2 linked regions of the Lepisosteus oculatus genome follow. The protein of the gene in region 1 purifies or fractionates together with the protein of each later gene. This does not show direct contact. Links are inferred from orthologs where the notes say so. Each region holds a gene or a part of one and is shown on either strand. Other genes may lie near its edges.

Region 1 (7,947 bases):
TATAGTTACCTAGACAGTATGTCTTCCAACAGAGTTTTGACATATACTACCATCCTTAAGGAGTTTAACATTTAAAAAGCGCATATTAAAAATTAATCCTGTACTAAGTGTCAGGCTTCTGTGGCCTGCAGCACTAGTAATAAGCAGTTCACGTTTAGTTCAAAATTCTTGAGACTGTACATTATGAAAGAAACTGAGTTAATTTAAATGGTCTGAGAAACATTGCCTTTTTGCCAGTGCATTGTTGCTAGATGTAATCAGATTAGCATTAAACTGTGGAAATTAAAAGCATAAAGTAACTGACTGCCATTAAAAAAAGATGTTTCTCCAGAGACAAGCTAATCAATAGCCTTTTCCGAGAAGCTGAATTTCTTTCATATCTTGCCTGGCAGCTGCAAATCTCTTTCCATTAGTCTCAGTGGAGCAACTGGTGACATTTCCTAAGAGGCTGCTTCAGCTACATTGGCTCTCAATTAAAGGTCTATGGTTCCTTTCACTTTAAATTTCTTAGCTGAGCGCTCGCTTGATCTGAGCTGAAACTTGCTGCCATAGATATAGGAAATGAATCCATCAATTTCCACACTAAAGACACTGTTGCGCTTTGGGATAACTGTAGGGAGGAAAAAAAAAGACAAAAAAACAGAAATTACTTTACAACATAAATTCTGAACAAAGCATTAAAACATACATTATTTAGATTGATGGATAATTGATGCACACCTTTCAGCCTGTCCTCTTCTGTGATAATTTTGAACACATGCTTCATCTCTTGTAAAAGAATTCCTGTAGTGCCCACATAAGAAGGACACTTAGATTTGACTACTGGAAAAAAAAGAAGATATTTATTCACAACTTCCAAAAAAGATTATTAAGGCTATTGTTTTGATTGGAAGCTTTGATGAGAAAAATTAAAACTAGAATGTACAGTACTTATTTTGCTTAAAGAATTCTATGTATCTTTATGTCAGATTAAAGAAAAAGAACAACACAATTACCTGTTATAATAGCACCATGGAAATCTGCCTTCAATAGCTTATTCTGGATCATCTGAGGGTTGCTAAGATTAAATTAAAAGTGGTAGAAAAACCTGATTTAACTGCAAGACAGAATTTCATTTATACAGTGCATTTGCTTTATCCATTCTGAATGGTAAAACGTTTTAAAGGAACTAATAGGACAAAGGGTGAAATAGAAGAACCTGCCTTGTATCAGTTATGGTCTTAAAATACTAGTGTTTTAAGCCACAATTTGTGACATCTTGATATAAATTATAAAGAAATGATGAGAAAGAATTATCATACTAGGAAAACTGAATATATTTTCCATAATGATCTTCAGGAATCATCCTAAAGAAGCAAATAAAGAGTTCCCTGAAGTGCTCACTGTGGTACTAGTTATCAAATCGTAACAGATTTCTCCTTCTTGTCAATGATTTACAGTTTAACATGACCCAGGGAAATATTAAAAATATAAATATTAGAAAACATAATGTATCAATCATACAATTATAACACTTTACAGAATAACAACAACAATAAATAAAAAGAATACACAAGATAAAACACAATTACAATATGCAGAGGAGACCGTGGATGGTGGTACTAAGAAAAGCAGAGGAGTGAAGAATGGAACCAGTTAAGTAAAGGCTCTTCTAAAGAAAGTTTTGAGTCTGGATTTGAAGGAGTTTAGAGAAGGTGACTCTCTGATAATGAAAGCTTAAACCTGTTGTACCTGTCTATGTGTTAACATTGTCAAATTAAGAAGTTGTTTTTATTGTTTTGCTAGTGAGCTAATGCCAAAATCTGCTTACTTCCACCCTTAACAAACATAGGACAGCTGTTGATTGCATTATGGTTTATTGTTTTGACAGCTTTTTAAAATTAAGCATGCAGTCATACCTTTCTGGTCTGAGTCCATTACAAAGATCACGCATGTACTGCTTCCACAATTCATGTAGTGGCAAGAAGAGTTCATACCTGGCAAAACAACTTTAATAAAAGACATCCTTCCATCTCTAGAGTCAACAGGTGACCTGTTCTATAGCCTTACTCCAAAAATTAATTGTAATTCACATTTAATCCATTTACTGCACTTCTATCATACCTTATAAATTGTACCAAACAAAAAGATGTTAATTCCACACTAAAATATGAAGGAAGGCTGTGGAGCTTTCTTTAGGTGTTCATACTAAAACCCTGTATCTTTTTTACTCTGTATACATGTCAGTGTACAATTAACCTCTACTTCCTCCTTTGCGGCTCGCATACTGACACAGCTCCCCACCTCTCTAAATAGGATTAATAAAAGTTAATACAAACAGATGGAAGATATGCCCCCTTTTCCCATTTCATTAAAGCAAAGTGTTCTGCATTCAAATTAAAAAACAAAATGAAGAGTTTCACTCTACCATTTCACACATTACTGAATAAAAATAATAAACTGTAATTGCACTGACTTCTGCTGCTCGGGTTTCAGCTCAAATACTTTCATTTCCCTCCTCTGCTTGGCATTTAGGCCTTTTGCTTTCTTCCTCTTTTTCTTCTGAACTCTCTTGAAGGCATGCTCAAGTACCACTGCCTTGCGAACCAAAAACTGCTGGATTTCCTCTTCTTTGAGCCTTGGCATGCTCCTCTTCAGAAATGCGTTTGTGAAAGCTTCTGCTTGATTGGCATCTTGGGACTGTTATGAAGACAAGCAGAAAATGTTTTTATTGCTGCAGTGAACGAGACAAATCACTTCAGCGCTTCCTCCCTATTGGAAGCAATGCCTTCCTTTAATCTAAATTAATTCAGAGATTTGTAGTAGTAACTCACAAGTGGAATTCATATGTAAAGCAGAATGGAAATGAGAGAAAACGTTTAATCTTGAATCTGCCAATGTTCTGGAGAACAGAACAAAACACTCAAAAGATCAGATTTTCAATTTCTAAAAGCACAAACCCCACCCTGTTGCAAAACAGCTTAAAAGTGTGAAGTCTCCACTTTTTGGTACACAAAAACTGCAGAGGGCAGCAAAGGACAGCACGTCTGAAAATAATAAATTTACCTGGATGCCCAGAATTGCAGCCTGTTTAGCTGGTAGAGCAGACTGAACACTACCTACAAAAATAATACAAAATAATACAAAAACAATAAAAAAATTGAAGAATAACTTGAATATCTTTGCACACCTTCACAACCCGTTTGATATTTGCATAGAAATACGAGCTGGACAAATGAAAAGCACGGAAGGGTTTGATATGACTGTTTCAACTCTAAACCGTACCTTGACATTTTTTCAAGTTTGAAAACAAATAGGCTTTCAACCGTTTGTACATGTAAACTTAAGTACATTTATTAATATCCAATTTTTGTTTGCAAAACACGAATACTTTATTGAAGCTTGAAAAGGTGAGTGACGAGAAGAAAACTATTTTTTTCGATGAAGCTAGAAACAGTGTGTGATTACAGAAATAGCTTTTACACCTAGTGATCAGGGTTTAAACGTGTTTTTCTTTACAAAATTAGCCAGACTTACATTCCATTCTGATGTGCTTCTCGTTATGCTTTCTGCATTGAAATTTAAACTCAACTCCACTCCACAACGTGAGTCTGCGTCTATGAAGTACTTCCGCACCACGTGGTCACATAGACATGATTAGTCGATTGCGAGGTAGGTTTAATTTTAAGCATTACTGTGTATGCAATCCACAGGAAAATTAATTATTTTACTTTACATACGGATATTATGAGCTGAATATTATGAACTATGCATTTGTTTGTTTAAGATCCGTGTATTAGCGTATAAGCTAATAAGCATTAGCTTGGTATATGCTAGTTTAGTGACTCTGGTAGGCAGTACATGTGCTTTAAACTCTCCCACGGTAGAAGAGTACAGGGATAGTTTCTGTTAAGTGCTGAAACCTAAACTACTCTTTTCTTCTGTTTAATAATATAATTAAACGCAGTGTGATTCAAGGGCCTGTGAAGACAGTGGTAAACAAAAAGGTGTTGACTATTTTCTCACACAAATCATGGCTACGTTTTAGACGTCTGTAAAACAAATATTAATATGTATGTCATTTTATTGGCCCCAACTAGCTGGAAGGCATAATAAACAAACATCCATCTATCCATCCATGTCATATTAGTTTTGAGTCACATATTATTTTTCGTGTCTGAATCTGAAATTTGTTTTAATATCCTTTAACCTCCTTTTTTGTACTGCTCTGTATTCCAAACACTCCGTGCCACTCTGATCTATTTGCAAACGACAGGTTTTATGTTTCTGTGTCCCAAAAGCATTCCTTATTCAAAGGTGAAAAGTAATTTAAAAGTGTACCAACAAAATATTTTTTATTGCTCATAGAATTACAGCCTTGTTGAGTGGAAACATTTCAGCTGCAAACAATCTTCCCCAGACAGAGATAAACATGTCTAATTGTCTGCACATTCAAAGCAATGGAAAAAAAAACTGTAGTTGAGAATGTGCAATATTTGTGAGCACCATGACAGCCTTAAAAAGCAATTACTAAACCATTATGTGTCTCTGCAATAATTATTTCAGTTGAATATATATATATAACATTGTAGGCTGAATTCATTTGACACACAGACTGAACATACTGATTGATGAAGATCCCTGGTGGAAAGAATGTTGATTTTGTCCAGAACTAGGTTTAATTAATAAGAACTTTAAAAAAGGCTACACACAAGAAGATCTATCCCATCTGGGAATTAGGGTATCCATCCATTTCTTGAATGGAGCTAAGGTGTCAGCTTCAACCTCATGAGTGGGTAGCTTGTTCCACACTCTTATAACCTAAATATATTTATATAACATATTAGCAGGTAGGTAGGTATTTTTCTTTTTTTGTACATAGGCAAACATTTTTACTCATTTACCCTGGCTATGAAATAATAGAAGGGTCCAGTATACATTTAATTTGTTGAGGTATGAAAGCTGACTGAATAACAAAATATGGATGGATTGAATATTTAAGTTGAGCTTAACAACTATGCCTCTACCAGAAAATGAAATGTTTCTCAGTGACTTTTAAGTTATTCTGATTTTATCATTGCCCTCACTTGGTAAAAGTCTTGAAAAGCAAAAACAAGATGCCGGGTAATCCTGACCTTTGGGAATCACAGCAACAGATTTGCCCATGACACCAGCGATACAAGTTCAATTCCCAGAAAACCTTCTTTTAAACAGGACATCAATGGCAGGAGGAAGCCCATGCCAATAAGGAGGTATAATGCAGTTCAGCAGGGAACAGAGCAGCATGCACATCCCTGGTATAGTTCCAGAGAGGTAAGAGTCATGTAGCAGCTTATTATCTCCTTGCCAGGCGGGCCAGACCTCTTAGAAACGCAGTAACAAGCCTGCCTGCAGTGCTGGTGATCCTGGTTTGATCCTGTCACACACTGCTTTCGCCTCCCATGCTGCACTATTATTGAAAAAATGGCAAGCTTTAGTCATAGCAAAATAAAGCTTAAGGAAGCAAATTTTGCAAGAGAAAAGTGAACGTACTCAGGGGGAAACAATGTTGTATTGATTTCTAAAGGGACAGTGCTTCCCAATGCCCATGTGAGTTGAAAGTGAGGGTTTCCCGTGGGTACTTATCTGAGCTACTGGAAAGCTGACGACAAACTTGAGTGCACTTAAACCTACCAGTTTTCATCTCCTGTGGCATTTCAAACCACATTAAGTGCACTTTTCATTTTTAACGACTACCTAATCAGATTTAAGGATAAATTAAAAATATGCCTAAGAATACATACTGTAGGAATACATCACACTAGGAAAAGCTTGAAAGGCAGGGTAGATTTTTAAGTTCTAAGAGACAGGGATTTTGTTTTTTTTCATTAACCAAAGAAAAATGTGGTTACATTACTTAGCTATTAATTGCAGTATTTGGATTACTGTGTGACCAGATTGCCATGTGTTATAATCCCTACTTCAGCGGGGGAAAAAAAAGAGAGCAGGTGTTTGAACCGACACTCAATTCGCACCAAAGCCTTGTCGTCTCGTAAATGTTTTTGGAAGCAGGATGGGTCATGACTGGAAATTTATTAGACGATTTGCTGAGAGAATTGCTTTTTTGACTTTGAATACAAACATTTGTGTTTTGGGGACGATTTCACTCTGACCTGATGACTACTGCCTGTCTTTGTCTGTCTCTCCGTCTGCCTTTCAGCATGGATATGGAATGAATACAGGTCTGACAGCTCAGAAGAAATAGTCTGCATAAAGCCATAGCAATGGCCCACATGATCTTGAGCTAATATAGGTAGTGTTGTGTATGGCATGGGTGTTCATAATACCATGTCAAGACAGGAGGAAAAGGTCAGGAAGAAACATAGAGACAGAGTGGAGGTTGTTCAGTTTCTATGAAAAGACCTGAAATGCCTATAAATAAAAGATAAGAATGCTCAAGTGTTTGTAATACATAAAGGTGACAAGTCTTGTGAATACAATAAACACAATGAAAGCACCAGGCTTAAAAGCTTATCATAGAATAAACCTTTTTGCTCTGAACTCTTGTACACCAGCTTGGTGAAAGCATTGAACGGCTGGTCTTGGTTTAAAATTTTAAGTTACATAGTATCAAGAGAGTTGATGGTCTGCCCAGCTTTTATTTCTAAATTATGAAACGTAAAGGTTAAAGCAGGGCTCCCCATCCTGGTCCTAGAGGGCTGGTGTGTTTATAGGTTTTCAGTCCAGCTGGGCTTTGAACGACCTTAATCAGCTTGTTATTGTCTTAATTGGACTCATTTGTCAGCTTCTTCAATCTCTTCAGGTGTTGGTGCTTTAAATACACCTGGAAAATCTACAGTCCTACCTACCCTTCAGCACCAGGATTGGTCAGCCCTGAGCTAAAACTTTGATTTAGAAATAAAAAGAAAGATGTTTATGGTTTAAATAGTGCTAAGAATAAATGGGCAATGCTTTGTGTTGTGTGTAATAAAATTAGATGATATACTATACATTGAGCCTGCAAATGTTATCAGTTATTTGTTCCACTAAAATGTGGAGTATTTGCTGAAATAAAAACTGTTTCCAGCAGTACAGACTTAAAAAAAAAGATATCCTTTCCTTACACGATTTATACTTACAAGATTTACTTTGTTTATATTTTTTATATTATATATTTTTATATTTTATTTATATTTTAAATCATCTGTGAAACTAATTTTTTAAAAGAAGTCTAACATCTTGTCCCTTTCTTGTCAGTCGTTGGTAGGCTTCAACTTGTTTTTCTCTTGCATTGAGGTCTTACTGGGCTCAAGAGAAAGCAACTGATATGTCTTTCATGAATGACATTATCTGTGTTTTATAGCACAAGAGCTCTCATGGCTTAAGAAAATCTCTGAATTAGAAGAGCTAACAGGGAATGGTAACTCTGATTGTTCGAAAGGTCACGGACCAAGTGTAATTCACATGATACTTGTTCAGCTTTTCTGAATCACCTCTAGGCTTGTCTGACCTTTCCGTTTCTCTCTGTACCAACCAGACACTGCACCAATACCTAAGAACAGGAAGACAAATCTGCCTTTTCAATGTGTATTGAAGAAAATCTATGAACAATTACATGTGGCTTTCAGAACAAACTGAAGATATACCTACTTACAGAATAAAAGTAAAAAGATTTATCCTTAAAAATTATTACCAGTGAAGACTTACTGTATTTAAACTAATTAAAGGAAATCCTGTGGATTTGATACAAACAATGGAACAAATTATCACAAACTTTAGAATGTTTATTACAGTTCCTCTAAAGAAAAGCAAATTGGGAACAATAATTTCTCCTCTTTTCTTATGCTTTCATCTTAAAAAAAAAAACAAATGGGCTCAATGTGTATATATTTGTATGTTGTTCCCACATTACAATGTTCTTACATTGAACTTTCCAAGTATTTCAAGTGATTATTTAAAGCAAATATTTCTTGCTTTGTCTGAAAGTTT
Region 2 (8,042 bases), on another chromosome or scaffold:
TCCGGCACTGTACACCAGGCACTTTCCCCTGCAACAGAACTCGCTGCACCACCTACAAATATGTATCCAATACCACCCTCATTCAAGGCCCCTCTGGATAATTCCGGATCACTCAGATGACATATTGTATCTCCAGCAACCTTATTTACTGCACCTCTTGCAGAAAATGTCCAACTATCTACATTGGGGAAACGGGAAGGAGACTGGGAGACCTCTTCAGAGAACATGTCAGGGCTGGAGAATCAAAGATCTCTCCAAGCCCATAGTTTCTCATTTCACCTCCAGTGGTCATGATCACACTGATCTCTCTGTCTGCGTTCTCAAAGAAGGGTTTCTCAACTATTGCAGAAAGACATCCGAAACCAAAATTATCCTGAAACTATCACACCTTCCCCCTTCTCTCAACAACTGACTCGTTTCCTTCAAATCCTCTCTGTTCATTTGAGGGTTTTGACTTCACACCTCTTCACCTCTCTCGACTTCGCACCACCTGAGTGCCCACTCTGCTGCTCTCCTCCCTCCTCCTCTCCATTCCCGGCTTTTGTTCTCCCATGCTTTATTACCTGCTGACTTTCCTGCCTTTCTCACACCCGAAGGCTCCACAGTTGAAGCATTGTGTTTCTTTTCTTCTGTTTTCAGCATGGAATAAACCTTTACTTGTTCCTTTGCAATCTGCGCATGCTGACGCAGCTACCTACTTGAACTATTTTAAAGTCTTTGTTTCTTGTAATAGTTGATAGCATTAACAGCTTGTTTATTAGCCTGGTATGAACTAACAACTACTAATGTTTAGTTGGTAACAAATGTCTGACCGTTCTCATATATAAATTATTTATTACTGCATACTAGAGTTTTAATAGATTGTTATGCATTTATAAAGTGTTGTTTGTAGCCCTTGAGCTGAAGTGTTGAATCTCTGTGTTTTCTTTCATTTAAGATAAGGCAGCAAACTGGGGGAAACTATTTAATGATGTACATTTTTAAATGTATTCAGTACTATAGTGTAACAGAAGTGTTCTTGATTTAAGGACAGTGGAGGTCTGGGAGGTGGTTGACATACTGTAACTGCAAGAAAATTGCTTTAGCGTAATTAAGTGAATTTGTCTCTTCCACTGCTAAAAATCCAAAATTTGCAACATATTTCTCAGCGTGTACTAACAGAAAATGCATGCCTGCTCATTTCCTGTGAAACGTCTATGTCTCTGCTCATCTCAGGCCAGGTACAGAGGTCATACCTAACAGTTGGAGAGTCTCAGTCTGACAGACTGCCTAACCAGGTCTGGCTTTAATTTCAGAGCACAGACAGATATCCATGTTAATTTTCATGTGTTAAATAAAAATACATTCAAAAGAACTACAGATTTAGGAGTTCAAATATGAATACTATGAAATGAAGATGGTTAAGTGTAATACATATTTTACCCATGTGTATAAGCTTAACTATACTGTATATAGCTAAACTTTTAGAGCATTCTATTTTACCTCTGTTTAAATAATGCTGCATCCAGGACCACAGGTAAATGAAATCACTATTCCTCTGAATGCAATACAGACTGTGAAGCACAATTAAGCAAAAACCTGACCCTCAACATTCAAATACAGAATATATTTTTAATTAGTTCACTCAGTATATTCTCTAAGCAGGGACTAACAGTATCGTTTTTTGTAGTCCAGAGCACTGCTTTTAATCCTCCTGCAGCCATGACATAAAACCCTATATGAGCTACAAAGTGTTTTATTGTGCTCTGAATTCTCTGCACAAAGCTGTATGGTTGTGAAAAAATGCACAATTGGTAGGACCAAGTCAAAACCAAGTAAGGATATCATAATGCAAATCAAACAGTTTTGCACCTTCATCTGTTTCTTTTGTTTACTGTACCACTGTCTATTCTGTCATCTTTTCTAAAACACCAGTCACTGGAGCCCAGAAAAGCTTAATAAGCCTTCCTGTCTGAAAAGGATGTATTGCATTTGTTCAGTGCATCTGGGCTCTTCCTGCAGAGAACATCTTGGCAGAACAGTGTTTTCCCCCAGCCCTCTGCCCCCTTTCTGAGATCTTTGACATTTGTCTGTACCAAGGGATGGCCAACCCGGGTCCTTGAGAATCACAGTCCAGCAGGTCTGATGGGTCACTCATTGCCCCCCCAATTCCTAAACACCTGGAGTATCTCAAACACTGGAGAGGGTGAGCTATTCAATTCGGTTTTTGAGCGGTCATTTGGACCACAGCTTTCTTATCCTGATTTCACTGAACCAGTTAACCCCCTAAATAGATCAGAATGCACGTGTTCAGTCTTCAGAAATGTGAGGGTGACCCAAAAGACCTGCTAGATTCCAGCTCTCCATTAACCAGGGTTGGTTTACAACTATTGGCCTACACTCTGTGCTGCACTGAAGCAAACTGGAACAATCCTGCAGATACCTGCTGATGTTCGGATTGTTGACTTGATGTTTTGGACAGGATGTCTTTTGGTTTTTGTTCCAACCTGAGTAGTCAGCCAATTCCCCTAAGTCTTTTCTTAATTAGATAATTAACAAATATTGGGTTAAGAAAATAGAGAATAACAAACAATACTGGGTGGGATAATCAAGAATAATAGACTAATTGTAAAGATTATACCAAGAATATACACAACAGGTTGGTATAGTAAGAGGCATTTGAGATCTTTGTTCTCTGACACAGCTCAGTCAACTCAGGCACAAATTGGAATAAACTAATATTTATTAAAAAATAACAACATAAACTAAATGCACAACATAAAACATTCAAATTACTCTATTTATAAACAAGACATTTCATGTCTTGGAAAAAAAAACCCAGATTACTTTCACAAAGTATGCACCAATCCTAAATAATGCCCTCACAGGTCAACTGTGAAGAACTAAGCCTGCCTTCTTAATTAAAGATTTAAAGACCTACAGTTAAATCTCTCCCTCTATAAATCCAGATGCTACAAAGTGAATGGGATGCATCTCCCTAAATGCATCCTTTGACCAGGTGAGATTGTTTTTAATCTAGGGATTTTATATACAAGAAATAAAAGTTCCCTGAGAATAACAGAATGGCAAACTCTCTTAACAAGGTTCAAATATTTATCTAGAATCTTGTCTTCATTGGTTGATCCAAACCAGAACCTGTAGCCTGGCACTCCTTTTTCTCTCTCCTTGTGTTTTGCAGTCTGCCTCATCTCCTCCCTGTTCTCTTTTTACCCTCTCTCTGTCTTTGTTCCCAGACTGTTGATGACTCTTAATTATTTGCCAAGAATTTAATGAACCAAGGTAAACCAGACCCATTACAAGTCAGAGAACACCTCAGGTGTCGATCCTTGTCTTTAATTCTTATGACTCCTCAATAGCCACTTCCTATAGCTTTGACAATATATAGGATTTTTCAAAAGGTCTTTTAGTTGACTAGGCAAGAGCCAGACGTTCACTTCATTAAAGGTTCTGTTGCGTAGAAATCACCTAGAAACATGTTAGAAATGTTACATTGAATAATTAATTAAATAAATAAATGTAACAGAGAACATGATCAGAACAAAAATCAGAAGGCACTGGGCCTTGCAGGAATGGAGTTTGAGATACTATATAGTGTACCTTGAAAATTAACTTAGTCCTCAAGATTTTTTTTCTTTAGGTATTATAATTGTATATAAGTCTCAAGCAAGTATTGAAAATTATCCATAGTAGGTATTTATTGTACTGCACACAATTACCATATTGTGTTTATTGGTATATTTTATGGAGTTTTCATTGTGCTAAAATATAGAAACAATTCTCATTTTTAATATTTTATTGTAATTACTGTAGAAATGTGTATGTAAATAGTATTATGATTAGTAATAAGCTCCTCATGACGAGAATAGAAACTGTTGTTCAAGATGTGACATGCTTAATTTCGTTGTGCATCCATTTTCTAACCACTTCTTCCAATTTAGGGTCAATGGGCACAAGGCAGGGATGAGACACCAGTCCATCACAAGGCAGTACAAATGCAGACACACCAGGGCTAATTATCCCAGAAGCCAATTCACCTACCACCAGTATGTCTGTAGACTGGGGGAAGAAACTGGAGAACTTAGATGAAACCCACATGGGAAATCACACAAACTCCACATAGATACAGTAGCTCCCCAGGAATTGAACCCAGGGCCAGAGCACTGCAAGACAGTTAAGCTAACCACTGCGCCACCCACTTTCATTTTAATATCAGTTAACTGGTGGATACAATGAATTGCCTCCACTTTTAGTAGTGTAACTAAAATGTTTTCTGAAAGACAGTATTTTTGTATGTTGTAGAAACTTTAGTTTAAATATTAAGAATAAATATTAAGGTGGAGTAAAGCCGTGTACGAAATTTGGGAGCAGAATTATTATGTTATTATGTAGGTGGATGCTGCACATTGGTGGTGGTGGAGGGGAGTTCCCATTACCTGTAAAGCGCTTTGAGTGGAGTGTCCAGAAAAGCGCTATATAAGTGTAAGCAATTATTATTATTATTATTATTATTATTATTATTATTATTATTATTATTATTATTATTATGATGATGTCTAAATGACCAATCCTTCACAAGTGACCAAACAATTTAGCCGAAATAACGAATCGTAATGCTTTTCCGTGTATTAAATTCCGTGATGTAGAAAGTAAAGATAATTTTATTTATTTACTACTGGAGACGTGGACTGAGATTTGATTTATATTAGGACGTCATATGGACCTTTTGAGGACATTAGGTACAGAACTGTATACGAGCACAGAGCTAGGTCGGACTGCAAAGGCTGTAGAACAGGAAGTACGACTTGAAACGTGGTTACAGTGCGGAGTTTAATCTGAGTTAAGGTGTCAGGTAATGTGAAGAATTTTTAATCAAACCAACACCAGTCTCTGACATGTTGAGTACTACAAATCTGTTTACTTTGCTCTGTATCATTAGGAGCCTTTTTCTTAGCTTCTGCCTTGCAACACTGAATCAAAAGCAAATGCTGTCTTAAGTAATAATGTCTTCTCACAGAAAATCTCGCAGATATTATTATTATTATTATTAATAGAATGATATATTTGCGAAATACTGACAGCATTTCTTTTAGTCTTTTTTCCTATAACATTCGCGAAATCGTGAATTAAGGGTGCAAAAATAAAGCAGCTTTTAGAAACTACTTTCTCGCTACAGAATATAACGGGGTTGACTAAATTAACATTGTTAGGAAACAACTGTGTGAGTTGATCATACCACACATTGTTGCTGTATTGTAATTTTATTTTTTGTTATTGCATGGTTACAAAGTTTCTCACTTAAACCCAAAGCAATACGTTATGTTGCTCCTCTAAAGTTAACAAACACAGTGGAATTGCAGGGCCGTGCAATCTGTGCAGAACATTATTTTCTGCTGTGTGATTACGGGATTTTTCTCTTTGTTAAGGAAATAGCATGAGACGCTCTGGGAAACAGGAGGAGGAACCTGCAAGTTATGAAAGGCTTGTTTTGAAGAATGCATCAGTGTACCATTATCTGAGGATCTCCCTGTGAGTGTGCCGGCATGTTTTGTTTTCACGAGCATTTCTTGGTGTCTCCTACAAATTGTTTGATCACGCATGAACGCTCACCTGGCACCTCATTAAATGTACTGCAGTTAATCTGATAATAGCAACGAGTGTTGTTTCCAGGCTGTTTCAATGTCTTTAATATATTTTTTTAATTGTATCGTAATTTACACCATAGCTAGGTTTTACACTAAAATGTTCACAGACGTGTTCTGGAAATCATTGTTCAACTCTGACCAGTATTGCTCAACTGATGTACGGTGTTGTTGTTTGATTTTAAAACTGAAGATTATTTTTCTAACATCCTACACATCAATATGAATGTGTTCAAATTTATTATAAAGATGTATAGAAATATCTAGGGAGATTTGGTGGATCAGTGATTAGTATTGGTGTCTTGCATCACTGGGGCCATGAGTTTAATTCCAGACCTGGGGTGCTATCTGCATAGAGTTTGTATGTCCTCCCTGAGTTTGTGTGGGTTTTGGCTGGGTGCTTTGGTTTCTTCCCAAAGTCCATAGGAGGATTAATGGGTAGGTTATTTGACTTCTAGGAATGTTGGCCTTGGTCTGAGTGTAGGCGTTTGTCTCTGCCTTGCAATGGACTGGCGTCTGGCCCAGGCTGTATCCTGCCTCACTTTCGTTGCTTGCTGGGATAGGCTCCAGCTGCCCCATGACCCTGAATTGGATCAAGTGGTTAGAAAACAAATTGCTATAAATACATTTTTTTTAAATCATCCCTCTTTTTTTTAAATCAAGCTCTCATGAGAATTCGGCTGTGATTTTGCAGGTGTGAGAAATGCATTGCCAAATATCTAAGCGACTTTTCTCTAGATGCAGACAGGGCAGAATTTTGTTTCCTTCTCTGTTGGTGGAAAACTCTGGCCTTGTTTTTACAGAGTATTCCAAGACAGTGACAAAAGACTCAGTGAGGCCCAGTTCAAGCAGCTGATCATTTCAGCCCTCAGAGACCTGTATGGAGAGGTATGTAAATGCAAATATAAGTTTGATGTACCAGATATACAGAGCTAGACTCCATCTTGATATACAGACCCAGTTTGGAAATATTTAAATGGACTTTTACCCAAATTGACAAATTTATTTTGTTAATAATTTGTTAACTCTGTTGACAAATGGATCTACAGAATAATACAGTACAGTTCATACAGCTTTTAGGCCATATTTTAGAAGAAACGCGTATCCTCTGTTCTATAAGAAATAATAGATGAATATAGTGTCTTTGCTACTATCAATCCTTGTGTGTTTTGTATTTGATTTTCAAGCAGCATTTTGCATGGGAACATGACCATAAATACCAGAAAGTAGGTGCTTCAGAAAGGAAAGGGGAGTGCAAATATCTGTTGCACAGTTATGTTTATCAGCGTTTCATTAAGGGAAGTGTATTGTGAAATAAAGAGAAAGGTGTTAGCTTTGCTTGATATGTTTAACGTGTGTTGCAGTTTTGTTTTAATGGGCAACTCCAGAAATAGACACAAATAACACAGATGTTTTGTAGATTGGAGCCGCCTTTCCTTTCGATGTTCTAAAATTTGAGGAGAACACGCTGAAAGCGATAATACGAGTGTTGAGCAGGTAAAGTAATATTGCTTGTCTGTAAAAATGAAAAATGTGGAAGCAAGCATAGTAAAAATAGTCAACGAGTCAAATGTCCTATAGTTCAAAACAATTAGAAGTGTATTCAAGATTTTTATATTATTGTTTGGTTATACAATTTATTTATATGTATGATTTATGATTTATTTTTTTTAAATGTATTTTAAAATGTACAGGATCGACAATGGTGTTTGTCCACAGCCCTTCCTCTGAGTCACTATGCAAATATTTTTCTTCCAGTGGCCTTGTGAAACTGTGGAGTGCTCTGACATTACTAGGATCCTATCAAAATGAACCATGTGCCTTTAGGATTATTCAGGTGAGTTAATTAGTTGAAATAGCCAATTTGTTTTTGAATGTACAATATTCCCCATCTTTTAAAGTTACACCATGTAAATGCTCAGTGTTTTGCAAAGTTCTTTATATTTTGTGGACTATTTTATATTTTGTGGGAAAAAAACAAAGGGAATGAGTATTTTGTCTGCTTTCCAGTAATCATATTTGAATTATTTTAACTTTATTTTCTTACAAAGTGTGAGCACACTCTATTGACAGATTTATCTACATAATAATAGCCTCAGTTCATACAGCTTATTTGCCTTTTGTGTGTCTTACAGTCTGATTGTACATTAAATACATACTACATTACATACATTAAATACAGCACACTAATGTCAGCACACATGGGAATTATAAACATTAAAAACATATTTCACTTAGGCCTAATTTACACCACCGAAATTTTGCCTTGTTCTTCATAGACTGCAGAGCAAAAAATGAACAACAGATGGCAGCAATAGGTTTGTAGTATTGCCTTGTGATGAATGACTCAACAGAAAAATACACAAAGGGCTGTGTATGTAATAAGATATACATATGTGAGAA

What was found. The genes of interacting proteins can lie anywhere in the genome.
Region 2: the proteins of pop4 (region 1) and rpp14 purify together in Homo sapiens (affinity purification with mass spectrometry; 3 studies listed by BioGRID and IntAct, counting the BioPlex papers as one, with this or other methods). This does not show direct contact. The link is inferred for Lepisosteus oculatus from reciprocal best matches to the Homo sapiens genes POP4 and RPP14.

Annotation. Positions count from the first base shown.
Region 1 is NC_090715.1:6,023,518-6,031,464, forward strand, and holds the start of pop4 (ribonuclease P protein subunit p29), read right to left. Parts: upstream 3,599-7,947; 5' UTR 3,524-3,598; coding exon 3,517-3,523; intron 3,099-3,516; coding exon 3,046-3,098; intron 2,680-3,045; coding exon 2,456-2,679; intron 1,977-2,455; coding exon 1,899-1,976; intron 1,058-1,898; coding exon 996-1,057; intron 823-995; coding exon 721-822; intron 611-720; coding exon 474-610; 3' UTR 1-473. UniProt on the Homo sapiens protein: Component of ribonuclease P, a ribonucleoprotein complex that generates mature tRNA molecules by cleaving their 5'-ends.
Region 2 is NC_090699.1:56,404,648-56,412,689, reverse strand, and holds the start of rpp14 (ribonuclease P protein subunit p14), read left to right. Parts: upstream 1-4,745; 5' UTR 4,746-4,849; exon of another isoform or gene 4,850-4,894; intron 4,895-5,423; 5' UTR 5,424-5,431; coding exon 5,432-5,526; intron 5,527-6,442; coding exon 6,443-6,527; intron 6,528-7,059; coding exon 7,060-7,136; intron 7,137-7,397; coding exon 7,398-7,476; intron 7,477-8,042. UniProt on the Homo sapiens protein: Component of ribonuclease P, a ribonucleoprotein complex that generates mature tRNA molecules by cleaving their 5'-ends.